4 linked regions of the Schizosaccharomyces pombe genome follow. Changing the gene in region 3 together with the main gene of any one other region gives a genetic interaction. Each region holds a gene or a part of one and is shown on either strand. Other genes may lie near its edges. The genes, in order: qcr8, hac1, ppk15 and otu2.

The links.
Region 1: mutations in ppk15 (region 3) and qcr8 together harm fitness less than expected from each alone (positive genetic interaction), as found in Schizosaccharomyces pombe (one large-scale study listed by BioGRID).
Region 2: mutations in ppk15 (region 3) and hac1 together harm fitness less than expected from each alone (positive genetic interaction), as found in Schizosaccharomyces pombe (one large-scale study listed by BioGRID).
Region 4: mutations in ppk15 (region 3) and otu2 together harm fitness less than expected from each alone (positive genetic interaction), as found in Schizosaccharomyces pombe (one large-scale study listed by BioGRID).

The regions. Positions count from the first base shown.
Region 1 is NC_003424.3:4,765,435-4,768,488, forward strand, and holds qcr8 (ubiquinol-cytochrome-c reductase complex subunit 7), read left to right. Parts: upstream 1-1,621; 5' UTR 1,622-1,675; coding exon 1,676-1,707; intron 1,708-1,896; coding exon 1,897-1,914; intron 1,915-1,959; coding exon 1,960-2,173; intron 2,174-2,276; coding exon 2,277-2,291; 3' UTR 2,292-2,472; downstream 2,473-3,054. Other genes in the region: ypa2 (serine/threonine-protein phosphatase 2A activator 2), read left to right, coding at 1-73; prohibitin Phb1, read right to left, coding at 532-1,380; exonuclease Rex3, read right to left, coding at 2,473-3,054.
Region 2 is NC_003423.3:1,206,698-1,211,361, reverse strand, and holds hac1 (2-hydroxyacyl-CoA lyase Hac1), read right to left. Parts: upstream 2,688-4,664; 5' UTR 2,398-2,687; coding exon 736-2,397; intron 685-735; coding exon 640-684; 3' UTR 506-639; downstream 1-505. Other genes in the region: npp1 (nucleotide pyrophosphatase), read left to right, coding at 1-467; SPOM_SPBC725.03 (pyridoxamine 5'-phosphate oxidase), read right to left, coding at 3,549-4,322.
Region 3 is NC_003424.3:2,583,503-2,588,012, forward strand, and holds ppk15 (serine/threonine protein kinase Ppk15), read left to right. Parts: upstream 1-1,670; 5' UTR 1,671-2,252; coding exon 2,253-2,441; intron 2,442-2,488; coding exon 2,489-3,904; 3' UTR 3,905-3,972; downstream 3,973-4,510. Other genes in the region: tom6 (uncharacterized protein), read left to right, coding at 361-400, 439-545.
Region 4 is NC_003424.3:4,969,362-4,972,873, reverse strand, and holds otu2 (OUT family ubiquitin-specific cysteine protease Otu2), read right to left. Parts: upstream 1,709-3,512; 5' UTR 1,686-1,708; coding exon 1,326-1,685; intron 1,280-1,325; coding exon 737-1,279; 3' UTR 568-736; downstream 1-567. Other genes in the region: SPOM_SPAC1952.04C (uncharacterized protein), read left to right, coding at 1-22, 212-448; tma23 (ribosome biogenesis protein), read right to left, coding at 2,229-2,630, 2,695-2,787, 2,869-2,982; gab1 (Pig-U family GPI transamidase subunit), read right to left, coding at 3,275-3,512. UniProt on the Schizosaccharomyces pombe protein: Hydrolase that can remove conjugated ubiquitin from proteins and may therefore play an important regulatory role at the level of protein turnover by preventing degradation.

The sequences.
Region 1 (3,054 bases), 2.2 Mb from region 3:
CTGTTGTGGCATCAAGATACCAAGTGCGATCTCTGCTGCCAAAAATAATGGAAGTAGGATTCCGTTTGATTAAAAATTCTCGAGGGAAAAAAGGCGTTTTTAACGAATCTTCACGAATTTATGCGATACCCATATTTGTCTGTTTACTTTAAAAGTAATATCTAAAGTCAATAAAATTACCAACAGTACAGCATATTTGTTTATTTCATTATGCTAAAAAAACTCTACATAAACAATCAACCCTAATTTTAGCAGCATTAATATAGCCATTTCATCAGCACAAAACCCAAAATAATTGTCGTTTTAAAAATAAGGTGACAAATCATAATTTTGAGTTCTGAAATAAAAAAATTTGGAAATATTTATTTTCGTTAAGAACCCAAATTTGTCAAAATCATAATGCGTGGAAAAGTACAACTTTTATATAACATCTCTTTAATTTTAAAGGGATAATAAGATAAAGCTGATATGTTTAGGGGAGCTCGAATAAACCTTATGAATTTGCTGCTAGAAGCAGATACATGGAATGAATTAAGGATTTACATTAAGAAGCAACCCAGAACCACTGGAACTTTGGGCATTAGAACCAGCTCCAAAGGGAAGATAAGTGACCTGTGCACCTTTATTAGCAAGTGCAGTAGCCACCTCTTTACTTGTCTCGAGACGACGAATTTGGATTAAAGCGCCACCGGCTTTATCAAGTGCTTTGGAAACAATATCAGCCGCTTCTGCTTCACCCTCAGCGCGAATAACATTAGCTTGTCGCTCTTGTTCGGATTGTTCTACTAAAAATCTAGCACGCTCGGCTTCTTGTTGAGCAATTTGTTTTCTCTCTACGGCTTTCGTAAATTCTTTTCCAAAAGTCATATGAGTAATGGATACATCTTCCAACCGAATTCCAAATTCGGTAGCTCGTTGAACTAGTTCTTGGCGAATTTTGGCAGAAACTACTTCTCTTTGAGTAATGAGCTCTGCTGCATCAAACTGAGCAACTACGGATTTTAAAATTTCGTTTCCAATAGAAGGTAAGACACGCTCATCATAATCTAAGCCTAAATTTTGGTAAATTTGAGGAAGCATTCCAACTTCGGGACGGTGTAATACACGCAATGTTAAAGAAACCATCTGTAAATCTTTACTACCCGTAGTAGTTGCGATATTTCGTGGACGTGTGCGTACATCATAAACAATTGCCTTTTGTAACCATGGAATCAAAAAGTGTGTGCCCTCCTGAACAACCTGTTTCTGCACACCCGACAGACGGTCAAACAAAACTGCTCTTTTTCCCCCCGGTACATCGTAAATCGAAGATTGTAATAGAGTAAATCCAATACCTATTGGTATTGCATAACGTGCAACTCTCTCCAGTACTACAGCCATCTCTTTAATAGTACGTTGAGCGCTGGACTAAAAGACCAAACTGAAAGGGAAGTCCGTTTGAGCAAGACTAAGTATGACTTAACTGCAACCTCTAGGAAAATCTATATTCATGATTAATAAATACATGATCTTATTATTTAGAATTTTAATAGTAAAACTAAATAAAAATCTTGAATAAAAAACCAAGAATTTGTAAACGTCTGAATTATTATTGGTCTAGCAGACCCGCACACTTACCCTTAACAAACATCTGACTTTGTAACGGCAATCATCAATATATTATTGTTTTAACAAAATGGGTGGTGCTGCTGGAGGAAAAACTTATTTGTAAGTGCAACTTAAAGCAGTTTCTGTTTATAATGGGTTATATGACTTTTCTTTGACGCTTATAGCGTGAGACGGTGGACACAATTGGTGTTTATTTCGTAAAGCCATTTTCGTCAGCGAAGTTATATACATTCAAATAGCTGCTGAGAATATCATTGAACGTTTTTATTTATACTAACACATGAATAGAGGATGGTGGGGCCATCTGTAAGTGCTATAACAATTTGATACATTTTTACTTACTTTAATAAGAGGTGGACCTAAACAAAAAGGAATCATAACATATTCCCTTTCCCCATTTCAACAGAGACCAATGGCCGGCTTCTTCAAAACTTCTACGCAAAATATGTTTCGTCGCGTCATGACTGAAGGTCTATACGTAGCAATTCCGTTTGGAATAGCTTACTATATTTACTGTTGGGGGAAGGAGCGTAATGAATTCCTCAATTCCAAACATGGAAGACACGTAAGTTAATGACTGAAGAATCGATAAGCAGCTATGGTTTGCAGCATTTTTCTATACTTCTAAATTGTGTCAATAATTGTCATTTTACTAATATGTGGTTTAGTTGGTGGAGGAATAATGATGAGAATGAAGTATTCATTTTGGTAGAAGGATTTACAAAATTCTTCCCTACCCTTTCCTTATTGGGTTTACAATTACTATCTCTCTCCTCTCATTATGCTTAGTATCAGAAATCTATATATCCAACAAAATTACTTTGTGATATGATCTATCTCTTGAATTTGAAAACATTATTACTCTTAGTTTTGACTTTCATTTGATTTTGTCTTATAAAAGACAAGTTGTAATGCTGAAACAGCGTCTTCTTCGCTATCGTGTGTAGAAGTTTGTATTGTTGTTCCCAGATATTTTTTAGTCAAATATTTTAAGGAATATCTAAACGGCGGGCCTCTGGCATGCGTAAATAGAAGAGCAGTATCTATGACACGTTTGTGAATAAGCCTCATCGCATTCAAATCGTTTTCTAAACCATGTCCTATTAAAATTGTATTTTTATTCATGCCAAGTTCCTTTATTTTAATATACATTTGATCCATGGTAATTCCTGATTCTAATTCTTTGGCATCATGTATCCCGCTAAATCGAGTATTGAGACTCAAAATTTTGCCTTTAGGCTTTATAAACACATCCATAATAATGCTTTCCTTTGCTACCACCGTCAAACGAGCCAATTCCATCCCGTTCGTAGTGTAGCATAGTTCACAATCTAACGCGCAATGACTTAATTGCTTGCTATTTGTACTGTCTGGTAAGTAGGAAAATGGATGAACGCTAGCAAGATACGGAAGATGTCGGTATTTGAACACATGGTTGTCTTCTAT
Region 2 (4,664 bases), on a different chromosome or scaffold from region 3:
ACATTTACGAAAGTCTTGTTAATTATTCTCGCTCGTCATTACCTTCTGCTGAGAATTGGAATGTTTATTCAAAGAAAGATATACCTTCTCGATGGCATTACTCAAATAATGAAAGAATAGCTCCCGTTTGGATGATCCCGGATGTTGGATGGTCTCTTGTCTCGATGCTGGATCATTCACCGGAGTTGGAGTATGAGCCTTTGGGTGTACATGGTTATGACAATTTGTCTCCAGTGATGAGAGCACTTTTTATCGCTTCAGGATCTTCTTTTAAGAATTTTAAGGGAAAGAAGCTTGCACCGTTCCAGAACACCGAAATTTATGGCATTCTTTCGCATATATTAGATTTACCAGCTCAGCCTAATAATGGTACATATGAAGGTGCTTTACCTTTAAGAAGAAATCGTAATTCTACTAAGGAATGGTTGCTGAAGGACATAGAACAAGCATACTCTAAGCTTATTTAATTCTGCTGTTTTATCACTATCTTTATATTTTTTAATATTTTTAATTTCCTTTAGATTATATTTAATACTTTTTTTTAATAAACGACTTTATTTGAATAGCAACAATAACTGTATTCCGATTTTTAAGAATCGTAAAAGAACATCACTTCTTCTATTTTTAATTAAATGATGGTCATAACTTTGGTTTCACTTTGGTACTGCTCATCCATGCAAATGTCTAGTGATTGTTAGCTTGTTCTTATACCTAATTCATTCCATTAATACTTACCAATTTTCGAGCAGCCTCCGGGTCCACCATAACATTTATGAGAGATACAGATGAGGTTTGCCATGCTTTCCTGAGGGAACTTCTCAAATCTTCTTCATTCTTTACAAAGAAACCTTTACCACCACATGCTTCGCAAATTTGATCATAACGTATACTAGTGCCTAAGGCAGTAGTCGGTAATTGGTGATTATCACGTAAAGTTTCATAAGCATCAGTATCTAATCCATGGTAAACACCATTATTATTGATTACAATTACCAAAAGATCCAGCTGGTTGCGTATGGCGGTTTCCAGTTCCATGGCGCTAAAGCCAAAAGCACTATCACCCTCAACTACCACTATTTTGTCGGATGAATGGGCAAATGCGCTGGCAATAGCATATCCCATACCAACTCCCATTGTTGACATAGTGCCTGCATCCAGTCGACCACGTGGATGAGTTACTTCTAAAAGCTGACGGCCCCGGTCCATTGTATTGGCGCCTTCAGAAACCCAAGTGATATTACGCTTTGATTTGAGCGATAAGCTTTGTAGCTCCTCATTCACGACATACAAAGCATAATTCATTTGCAACGGTATACTGGACTTTCGAGATTCAAGAGCCTTTTTCTCATTCTTGGATCGGGTTTCATTTAACGTGCGAAGGTAAGGGGTCGAGATGCCAACACTGTACTTCCAAGTTTGAACGAGCTTAAAAAGACAATCTATTGTCAGACCTACATCAGCCCAAATTGCTAAATCCAAATCTGCAGCATTGTTTCCTAAAGTTTCAGCATTGGTATCAATTTGAATAAATTTGGCATTAGGAGACCACTTTGGTGGAAGACCATATTGAAATATCCAATTTAAACGTGCCCCTGCTAAGAGCACTACATCTGCATTACGAAGAGCAGCTGACCTTGCCGAAGACACATTTAAGGGATGCGATTCTGGTAACAAACCTTTGCCCATGGGACTCGGAAGAAACGGAATGCCAGTATGTTCAACAAATTCCAAGAGCTGTTTTTCAGCGCAGGCATATGCGGCACCTTTACCAACGACAAGCAGAGGTGCCTTTGCATTTTTTAAATAGTATGCAGCCTTCTGAAGCTGTGTTGGATCAGGTGCACATTTGGGAGAACTAGGAATTGGGGGTAGAGGGTCTTTAGGAAAGTCATCGACAGTAGATTCAATATAATTTGCTGGCAAGTCAACATAGCATGTTCCAGGAGTGCCGGTCATGGAGACACGATACGCTCTTCGAATGGAATCAACAACCATTTTGGGACTTGGGGGGCGCACGGCTAATTTCGTATGAGGTGATAAGTAAGAAACCTGGTCCAATTCTTGGAAGGCCCCACAGTTTTGCTGAAATGTTTCACTGGATCCAGCCAAAAGCAGCAAAGGCCATCGATTGGTTTTAGAATTGAAAACACCGGCCATGGCATGTACAACGCCAGGACCGCCTACCACGACACAGACCCCAGGGCGCTGAGTTAAATAGCCATAGGCAGTCGCTGCATAAGCTGCGCTTTGCTCATTGCGAAACCCGACAAACCGAATTCCACTTGCTTGGATAGCCTCACAAATTTCGATTACGGGAATGCCAACAATGCCAAAAACAACTTTAACCTCTAAGTCCAACAATGTCTTAGCTACCAATTCCGAAAAGCTTATAGACATTGTTATTACAAATTAATATGTACCTCTAAATTGAATAATATTGTTCACCAAACAAAAGCGATGAAAAGCTCAATGCAAAAGAAAGACAGAAGAAAACAAGAAAAGACTAAAGCAAAGTAAAGGTGGGTTTGGTTCCAGTAGCTAGCAATACCGTCCCTATTTCTCAATAAACTGACAAACTGAAGTGTATGTCACTCTGTAAACCAAGTGTTCTATACTTTAGAGAGAAAAAGAAGTTCTGATCTAGATGAGCTTAAATAACAGCAATGCTTAAAAAATGATGGATGAGCAATCCTGTATTTGAAATTGCTAATCCCTTATGTAACCGAGTACTAATAATCCAATGTATAAGCCAATTTGGTAAAATTCCTTAAAGTATTTAATGTATAGTAAGGAATACGTTAACAGGTTTTAAATTTGTATCGTTAATAAGTTAAGATCCACACATGTATTCAATAATGCCACTTAACTCAACGGGGACCTTTACGGTTCTATGAATACTGATTCGATAAAATTAAATGACTTGGCAATTCACCGTCCCTTCAAATAAGACATTGTGTTTCTTATGTGGTGCTTTATTCCCTTTTTTTTGCTACATTTCTACCTGCGTAAGACAATATAAGATAATAAAACAAGCCATATAGTAATAACCTTAATATAATATTATACAGGTAAGATCTTTTAATAAATGATCATCATTAGCAGGTAGGTTGGCCTATTTGCTTAATCTCGCAACAATTTTTTACAATGTCTTCCTGTAAGTACTTTAATACACACAATTTTCATAATTTTTTATTTATTATAAACGTAAATAGTTCATCAAGTGGCCGGATTGGAAATTTGACATAGGATAAGTGATAATTTAGTTGTTTAACAACGTAAATAAACATTAGAAAATTCGGAATACACTGAGTTTGTAGTTTGTACTCAGTATTATGCTTCAGTACTAAAAAAAAATTCAACTACAAAACCCACCGAATTGTAAGCTAGGCAAATTTGAGGGAATCAGACCTTTTTCATATACTCCACAAAAAAAAAGAACCAAAATGTTAGGAGTAATCATTATAAGTTAATATTCGTAGTTCATAAGTATTGCACGTTTATCAAGAGCAATCAATTCATAAAGGATGTGCGAAAAAAAAGGAAAACATTTAGACATTGACACGAGTGGAGGACCATTGTTTCGTGTTTAGATCTCTATTGTGCAAAACGCGCTTTCCTGGAGGAGGGGTAAGATTCAAAAACTCGACTTCGTTAGCCTCACAAACAACAAGAGAAAATCTACCCCAAGCAGTCTTCCAAGCTTCAATAACCCCGGGATCTTCTTTTCCAGTGAGGGTAGAAGGTAAAGGTGACACCTTCACATCGCCTTGGTATTTGGAGTATGAAGGAGGAGTAGAAAAGGAAGCGCGAAGTTCAGGACTATGTAACTCCCAAATACGTCTTCTTTCCTCTTCCCAAGACCATTCTTCGGGAATGCGGCCATTGCTGTTTATTAAATGATCCTGGATCAACTTGTCTGCGGGAAATTCATTTCGGTCGGCAAGTTCTGGTGTGTATAACCAAATTTGACCGGAAATACGAATTTGCTGCATTGTCTTTGGTAACCATCCACACATTTCAAATGCGTTCGGTATGGGTCCAGAGGGGAATGTATTTTTTTGCTGCTCAGCAATCTCAGCAGCTTTGTGAGAAGCAATATCCGTAGAGAATACCAATAAATCTGTAGCTAGCACATCATCGGGACGTGGTTTATGCCATCCTGTACCGACAAATCCTCGAATAGCTACAGTACGATTTCTGGGGTAAATTTCATTACCAGTGGGTAAAGTTGCCAGCTGGAAGTATTCGGGATGAATAACTCCACTGGAGTCGACATTTTCTTTTAAAAGCTTCAATAACTCATTTTTCCAAGCGAGGGACATGTTGGCAAACGATGAAATGGGATGCACGTATGAATCCTATATAAGTCACTTGTTTGACTGAAACGTCATTGACTTTGCTAAGTGTGTCGTACTAAAGGTCGCTCGCTATACAGAAATGATCTCTAGATATCTGTATAAGGCACAACTCTAAAGTTCGGCTAAACTTACTAACGAAATCGTGTGTGATTTCTGAAAAAGCAAATTGTACGTTATCGTGGATTACACTAATTTTTTAAAATATTCCTCTCTTCATCTGCTCAAGAGAATTGGTAAATAGTAAGAGTAAAATCATTTAATATTAGTGCACAGAGAAAGGAAAATAAGAAAATAAAGACAATAACT
Region 3 (4,510 bases):
TAAGAAAATGAATTAAATTATTCTAACCCCTCCCCCGAAAAAAAAATGAAAAAATACTAAAAAAGATAATGATTATGGAAAATTTTAAAGGAAAAAATTTGTTTCCGCAGCGCTACTCTTGATTATTTCGTAAGACCAAGTAAACTAAATATAAAGCGTTTTGTCTTAAAAAACTATTGCAGTATAGAATGTTTCCTCTACTGCAAAACAAAATCCATACAGCTAGCTCTTAGGGTTATCAATTAGGGTTATTGAAGCCATACATTTTACCTGATCACTGTTTATGGCAGCGATCACAGTCATGTTAAATTACGTTACAAGTCGGTATTTAGCCACGTTCCTTCAACCACTTAGTCAAAAATGGATCGCATTTCTGCTCAAAAAGATATTTTCAAAAAGGGTATGTCCCTGTAAAACTATTAATTTAACATCTTTTAGTCGTCAATAAGGAAAACTCTTCCATTTTCGTGAGTCTTGGCGTATTTGCAGTTTCTGTAGCCATCTTGAAATCCAGACTGGGAAACTTTTTGGTACCACAATTGTAAATGGATGTTTGAATTTCACGGACTAAACGTCTTCAGCTTTGGATTCAGAAAAATATTACTTCATAACGTTGTATGGTTGTTTCATAAATAAAATGAACTCCCAGTTTCAATAAAGGTTCAAAGCTAAACAACATATATCTTTCATGAATATCATTGTGCTTTGTAATTTTTGTTAGCGATCTAAAATTTGAAATATTTATGTTATCTAGTGTCATGCGAAGTACGTAGGAGCATTAGTTGGTAGGAACATTTTTACATATAAGCTAGTTCGATTCTGATATCTTGCGTCTATTTATGTTTCCTTAGATGTTTGAAGTCAATAACCAATATTCGTCCATTCACTACAGATTTTTGTGTGAACATTGGACTAGGAACCATTTCGTTTGTCGTTTATGCGAAAATTTTTATGTACGAATGTAGTCGGCGTGGAGAATGTTTTAACAACGACTCCTTCATTTACAGATAGATGCCAAACAAGAAACGTTTTTCCTCCTTTTAATATCCAACCGGTTACATGGTTGTGCAACATCCAAATATACTAAGTATGGAGAATATCCGTTTTTTCGAAAAATTGCTACTATTCTGAATTAAGGATGCGTACTATTGGTAAACATTGCGCTTGATGTTTCGAATAAGCCTTTCAATGGAAGTTGTTTCTTATTTATCGCGGTTATTGGTATAGACGGATGTTTTGCACCAAATTCATTCGTCTTTTCAAATACGAATTGATTTCGTTGTGGAGAGTAAGAGCAGGAACCTTAATGTAAGCGAAATTATCGCCTTCTTAAGTCATGTCACGGAAACCTGAAACAATATTTAATTATTTAATTGGGATCTAAGATCCAACTATTTAATAATATAAGAATCAAAAGATCCTCTTCTAGTAACTTTTTCTTGTATTTTTTTGCAAGCCAAAGTTTTAATGACGGCCTTTTAATTCATTGATACACTCTATTACGTAATAGATTGAAAATCAGTAAAACTGATTAAGGCATAGCAAGCAATTGTACTTTATTTCAGTCATCGTCAGCGCCGTTACACGCGGCTCACTACAAAGCGGTGTGTCGTCATCCCTTTCCTTCAGATTCCTCTCTATCCTTTAACCAAGCCGCTTTTTTTGGTTAAATCCTTCATCTTTCAATAAATTGCGAAATCTCTCAGTGTTGTTTTTCGTATAAATTTGTAATTTATACGGTGGAGTTGATTAGTTATTCGTTCAACTCGCACTGTGCATATTTATCGGCTTATTTTAGTGAATATTTTCGATTTTCTGCCGAATATTATATTTGTATTTGTAGCTACACGCTATAAACAAGAAAATTAGAAGATTCCTCCAAATTCATATTTTAAGCTTCATATCCACAAGTGTTTCCCTTTGTTCCAGATCGAGATTATCGTAAGCGAAACTAGCTCTTTGTCAGTTGTTCCATTAAATTGATTAGCCGGTTGGTGCGTTCATTTCAAACTCTTTGACTTTTTTCCTTTAAAGCACTTCTTTTTTAGATTCCTTTGGTTAATCTGTCAACTACTACTTTGTAAATAGTATAACTTGTGGTTCCTTTTTGCACTGTTGTGCATCGACTCACGTTCCAAGAGATCACTATTTTACGTTACTTTAAAGTGATTCGAGTGTGAATGAAGGCACTCGTATTCTGCCTATACTGATATATTCTTTGCAATACTTTACAAAAAGGCGTCTCTATTCATATGGATTCGGATTCGCCCATTCTTCCATTATCGAACAATCCTCCTGCTGCGAGGACTCATGATCACTCGCAGCGTAATAATCATGCTCGTCATGTCTCGTCTTCTGGAACAACTTTGTTTGCTCCTGTCAAACCGGCAACCAAGAAATACAATTACAGAAGGGTGTCTCCCCATGGAAGCTATATTAGCGTACGAAATTTTTTACTTGCTCTGCATTTTACTAATTAAACATATAGCCCTTAGAAGCAATGACTGTGAAACTAGCTGATACATATTCAATTTGTAATCCAAAATTCCAGTTTTCTTCCGAACAAAACCCTCGGAGACCACTCACCAAACCCAGTGAAGGAGTTCACAACCATGGTTTTGATAACGTCAATCATGATTATGTATTGTATGTTAACGATTTGCTAGGAACGGATGAAGGCCGTAAATATTTGATTCTCGACACCCTGGGGCATGGCACATTTGGTCAAGTTGCTAGATGCCAAGATCTTAAAACCCAACAAATTGTAGCTATTAAAGTTATCAAAAATAAGCCGGCATTTTATAACCAATGTGTGATGGAGGTTTCTATACTAGAGCTCCTTAACAATAAGTACGATCCAGAAGACAAGCGCCATTTAATTCGTTTATATGATCAATTTATGCATAAAAATCATTTGTGTCTCGTTTTTGAGTTACTCAGTATTAATCTTTATGAGCTTATCAAGCAAAATCAGTTCCGTGGTTTACATTTAAGTCTTGTTCGTTCTTTCGCAACGCAACTTCTATCGTGCACATCTCTCCTCAAACAAGCTCGAATCATACATTGTGATCTAAAGCCGGAAAATATCCTGTTGCAGGATTTATCATCACCGATTGTGAAAGTGATAGATTTTGGTAGTGCTTGTCACGAACGCCAAACAGTTTATACCTATATTCAATCGCGATTCTATCGCAGTCCGGAAGTAATTTTAGGACTACATTATAACTGTGGAATTGATATGTGGTCTTTGGGATGCATTTTAGCTGAACTATTCTTAGGTCTTCCCTTGTTCCCTGGAAATTCCGAATATAATCAATTATGTCGGATTGTTGACATGCTTGGTAATCCTCCCACTTGGATGTTAGAAATGGGTAAAAATTCGAAGAAATATTACAATTCTGGTTTTGTAAACGGTAGAAAAACTTATGAGCTTAAATCGATCGAACAGTTTTCTATCGAAAACAACAAAACAGAGCAACCTGGAAAACAATATTTTGGTGAAAAGACACTCGATGCTATTGTTTTAAATTATCCTCGCCGAAAAACCACACCTAAGCTTACTCCTGAAGAACATGAAGAGAGACTTTGTTTCATCGATTTCATAAAGCAGTTTTTAGAGTTAAATCCTTTGAAGAGATGGACTCCTGACCAGGCGAAAAATCATCCTTTTATCACAGGTGCCTCTTTCAGTCAATACTGCATTGACAAACAAAAACCACTGCTTACAACTCAAAGAACGAGGAACCGTTCTCATACTATTGGAAATCAAGCGGTGGTTCCTCCTTCCTTACAGCGTGCAAGCACTTATGTTTCCAACGAACCTGAAGAATTTGTACATACTCGACCGCTGCCTCAATATTATCCTCCCGCTAATGAGAACGAAAATGTAGATGAATTTTTCTAATGTCATATTTTACGTATAGAAACATTCAAATTTATTTAAAATATTTAATAGGCATGATCCATTCCAAATTTTTTTTTTATGTTGTACCAATTTTCTAATAGCTTTCGTAAAACGTTTTCAATTTTCATAAAGCATTCAAACTTTTGATGATATATACATACTACGAATATTTTCAAAGTTCCTTCGAGGCTTCAATATGCAGTTTTCAATAGTAAATAGTATAAAGCATTTACAAATTTAACGCTATATTTAGCGCTACGGTAAATACTCTATGTAGAGAGGTTTTATACTTTTATGTAGTAGACATTCACAAATCGCCAAAATGAAATCAAGTTCACTTGAAAATGGGACTCTTGCTAATGCGGGTGTTTACGAAGATGATCTAGATAGCGACGAAGAATTGGTCTCAGAAGAAGAATTTGAAAACTTTAATAATGAAGATTCAGAAGACGATGAAGACTCAAACAACGAATCAAAAACAGCTAAAAGTCGTATGTTAAAAATTCTTTTATTTTCTTAATTAATATTTACTCACAAATTTGAAGAGTTAGCTGAGATTCCGTTTGATACATTGTTGAATGCTCAAAGGGACCTGCTTAAAGAACA
Region 4 (3,512 bases), 2.4 Mb from region 3:
TCTCCCGGTTTATACGAGTAAGGTAAGGGAATTCAAGAAAGCATATGTTATGTAGTTGACCCTTTCTACTTATCATTGTTTGGAAACCTGACAGACCTTGTTTGTTATTTTCTAAGCCATTCTTCAATCTTCAATGTTACATGCTTTCCAGGGAAAGTTGGGATTATTTTGCTGTCCAACTAATAAGCACTCACTTGCTAACTCAGAGCAGGTACTTCGTTGTTCTCATTGTGGGTGGTATGAACCAGTAGATTCGGCCATGATTGATCAAAGGCGCAGGCGTGAAGATCTTCCTACTCCCGAAAGACCTGAGGCGAGTGCTCAACAGCATGCATTTTTTCCTGGCTCAAGTTCGCAACAAACCGATATTCCTAACGTTCGTCCTCAACCACATATACCGCCTCCAAGAAAAAGTGATGAGGCACCACCCCCTTACAGCTACAAGTAATGTTCTACCTTAATTCTATTTATTGTTCTACCGTTTCTAATGCTTCCCTGATGAAGCTTTCTAAGCATGTTTGGTAATATTTATTGTGCATACTATATGACTGGATATGATAGATAATAATGGCTAATTTTTTTTTTTGATTAATAGAATACAGAAGAGTTTTAATTCATAAATATTATTCATATAATCTAACTCGTAAGGCACAGCCTTTTTAAATGGTTTCCGGCGAGGAAGGAAGCTAATAAACCAAAGGATAAAAACCTATCTAAAGCATCTCATTAGATCTTTTTAATTGTCCCGATATAATAAACTATTATAGTGAGCGCCAAGCCCAAACAAATGCTGGTAATATGCTATACACAACGGTTTTTCGAACTTGACCGTTGAGGGGTTAAACTTTAAAACTGGACCTTCTGTGTTGTAGACATGAACAGGAACCTCAAGAGAGTTTGCTAATGCCTGTATTTCAATATCACTTCCCCATTTGCTATTGTTTCGAATTTCGTTACAATAATCGGATACTGGCAAAACTTCTCCAGATTCTTCGTCTAGCAAAAAGCCTTCAAACTGTTCGCAGTGCTTTAATACATAATCAGCGGATTTATTACGAAGAGCTTGGCTATTTAGTTTAACATTATGATGATAATTTAACTGATGTGAAATGGAAGCAAATAAACAATTTCCATCCGCTGGTATATCGACTGCAACAAGTCCAGCTTCCTCAAGGATTTTTGAAAACTTTTTTTTCTCTTCATTTTTGAGATCAGCCATTTTTTCTGACTCTAGCTCTGCCTGCTCAGACATTTTTTTCATCTCTGCTTTACGTCGTTCCTAATTAACTTTGTTAGTGATAATTCGTCAAAAGTTAAGCACTTACAAGTCGCTCTTTTTGTCTATTCCTAGACTTTTTAGGCTGTTGCGGTGTATTTTCTTTAGTATTCAATGAGGACTGAACTGATGATTTTTCTGCCGTCGTAATTTTCGTATCTTCCATCTGTTGTAAAAGCGTATTGAGGAGATCTTCTTGCTGCGTTTCATTTGTCTCTTCATCGCCTTTATCCAATTTTTGTCGTTCTGTAGCATGTTTTTGTGATAAATCGGCTTCCATTTGTGAGATTTTTTGCTGCAAAGCCCTTTTTTGTTTTTTATTTCCTTCCTTTAGTTGTTTACGAAGGTTTGTAATTTTGCTTTGAAGTTCTTTACATTCTTCCCGTTGCTTACTTAACAATTCCTCCATTTTTTTAGACTTTCGTTTTTGTTGAGTTGGTATGGTAGTTTGAGTGTAATAATATGCTAATGGACATCTCATTCGATGCTTCCAATTTAATTCATTTAGACATTATATTTACATAGTATAATATTCCCTTTCCATGCATAGCCTTTTATTCATTTTGTAAACATTCAATCATCCAATGCAGAGTTTTATAATAAAATATATATTCTTTACTAGGATCCTATTAAACATCATTTAATTTGTAAAACAATTCAATTCTAATAATTTATTAATTATTTATATACAATTAGACTCCTGTTTCCAAATACCAAATTCTTTGATACCCATATAATACACCCCGTCGTTCAACAAATGTATGCCCGCTGATAAACGAAATGAAACTACAAGAAAAACAAATAAAAAGCTTTAAATAAAGTGTGTTTTTGAAACTTCAAAGAATTAGAAAACTTGCTGTTTGGATGTTCGAAGACTTCTGGACGAATCGTAAAATAAAGAATTCCAATTCTTGTTCATATTTAAAGCTAGGCAAACGATTTTTCTTTCCTTTTAAGCCTTTACCTTTTTAGTACCCGAAACCTTCTTAAGTCCACTTTTAGACGATTTTTTTGATTCTTTGTCACGAACCTTTCTTTTTCGTTTTTGAGTATGAGAATCATCTAATTTTAATCTCTTGGATTTTTTTTTCAACTTGTCCTTCTTCTCCTTCTTTTCTTTTTTCTTTTTGGACTTCTCTCGTTTTGAAGACTCTTTGCCAGAAGTTTTTCTGACTTTGACTTTCTTGGACGATACTGGAGAAACAGAGGAATCAAGACTCTTATCAACTAAATCTTCCTCAAAGGTACCACAAAGTCGACCAGCATAACGAAACACAGAAGACAGAGCAGAATATTTGCTGTGATATTTTGCCATTCTCAATTTTGTAGATACACCATTGCTTTGGACTGCAACCTTTTCCAAATGTTAGCACTGTGTAAAAGAGATAGGAAAAATTGTATATTTAAGTTGTTTTTACCTTTCCGTTGTCCGTATTTACTTGAATTGACTGTAGTTGAGCAGAAAAAACATTATCCCACCATTGATCAGCAATATCATGTTTAGCACCAAGCTACCGTGTGTTAAAAATAAATTCATACATAACTTTACTGAAAAAACCCATCTTTTTCTAAGATTTTTTATTCTGACATACCCCATGAGTATTATATTTTCTAGAAGTTAAAATTGGTTTGGTGAGCCCTCCTTCTTTTAAAGCGTTTCCTTCCTCCCAACCAAAGGAATTCAAATATCTTTTGGAACTAAACATCAATGGCTGATGAAGTTTTGCATAAAACTTTTCATGGGTACTTCGTGGTAAAGGGAGTAGTGCCATGGGATGCCATGAATACCTAATATGAAAAAAAATAAAAAAAGTCCTTGAATCGTCTCGGAAAAGGAAAAAAATATGAAATATAAATTTCCTATTTGTATGTATGAATAAATAATTTCTAAACGTTAAATTGGAAAAGGTCGTTTCGTAAGGTCAGAAAGGTGAGGCTCTAATGATGAAATTGGATAGATGAAGCCTAAGAATATCATTTTCTAATTAACAGATTACTTTATTGAACCTGTTTTAATGGAATATTTTCATGCTGTGGGTGATTGGCATACCAATCAACCAAAAGCAGTGCCTTGAGAAAGTCCATGATTTTTAAAGAGAGTCCAAGAGCAAGAATGAGGTTACTTGCGTAATAAAAATTTGCATTTCCACATCCAAGAGTTATCCAAGAATGGTAAAATGCAGATCCCAGTACAAGCGCAAACACAATAGCATTATTTGTAAGCAAGCTATATCGC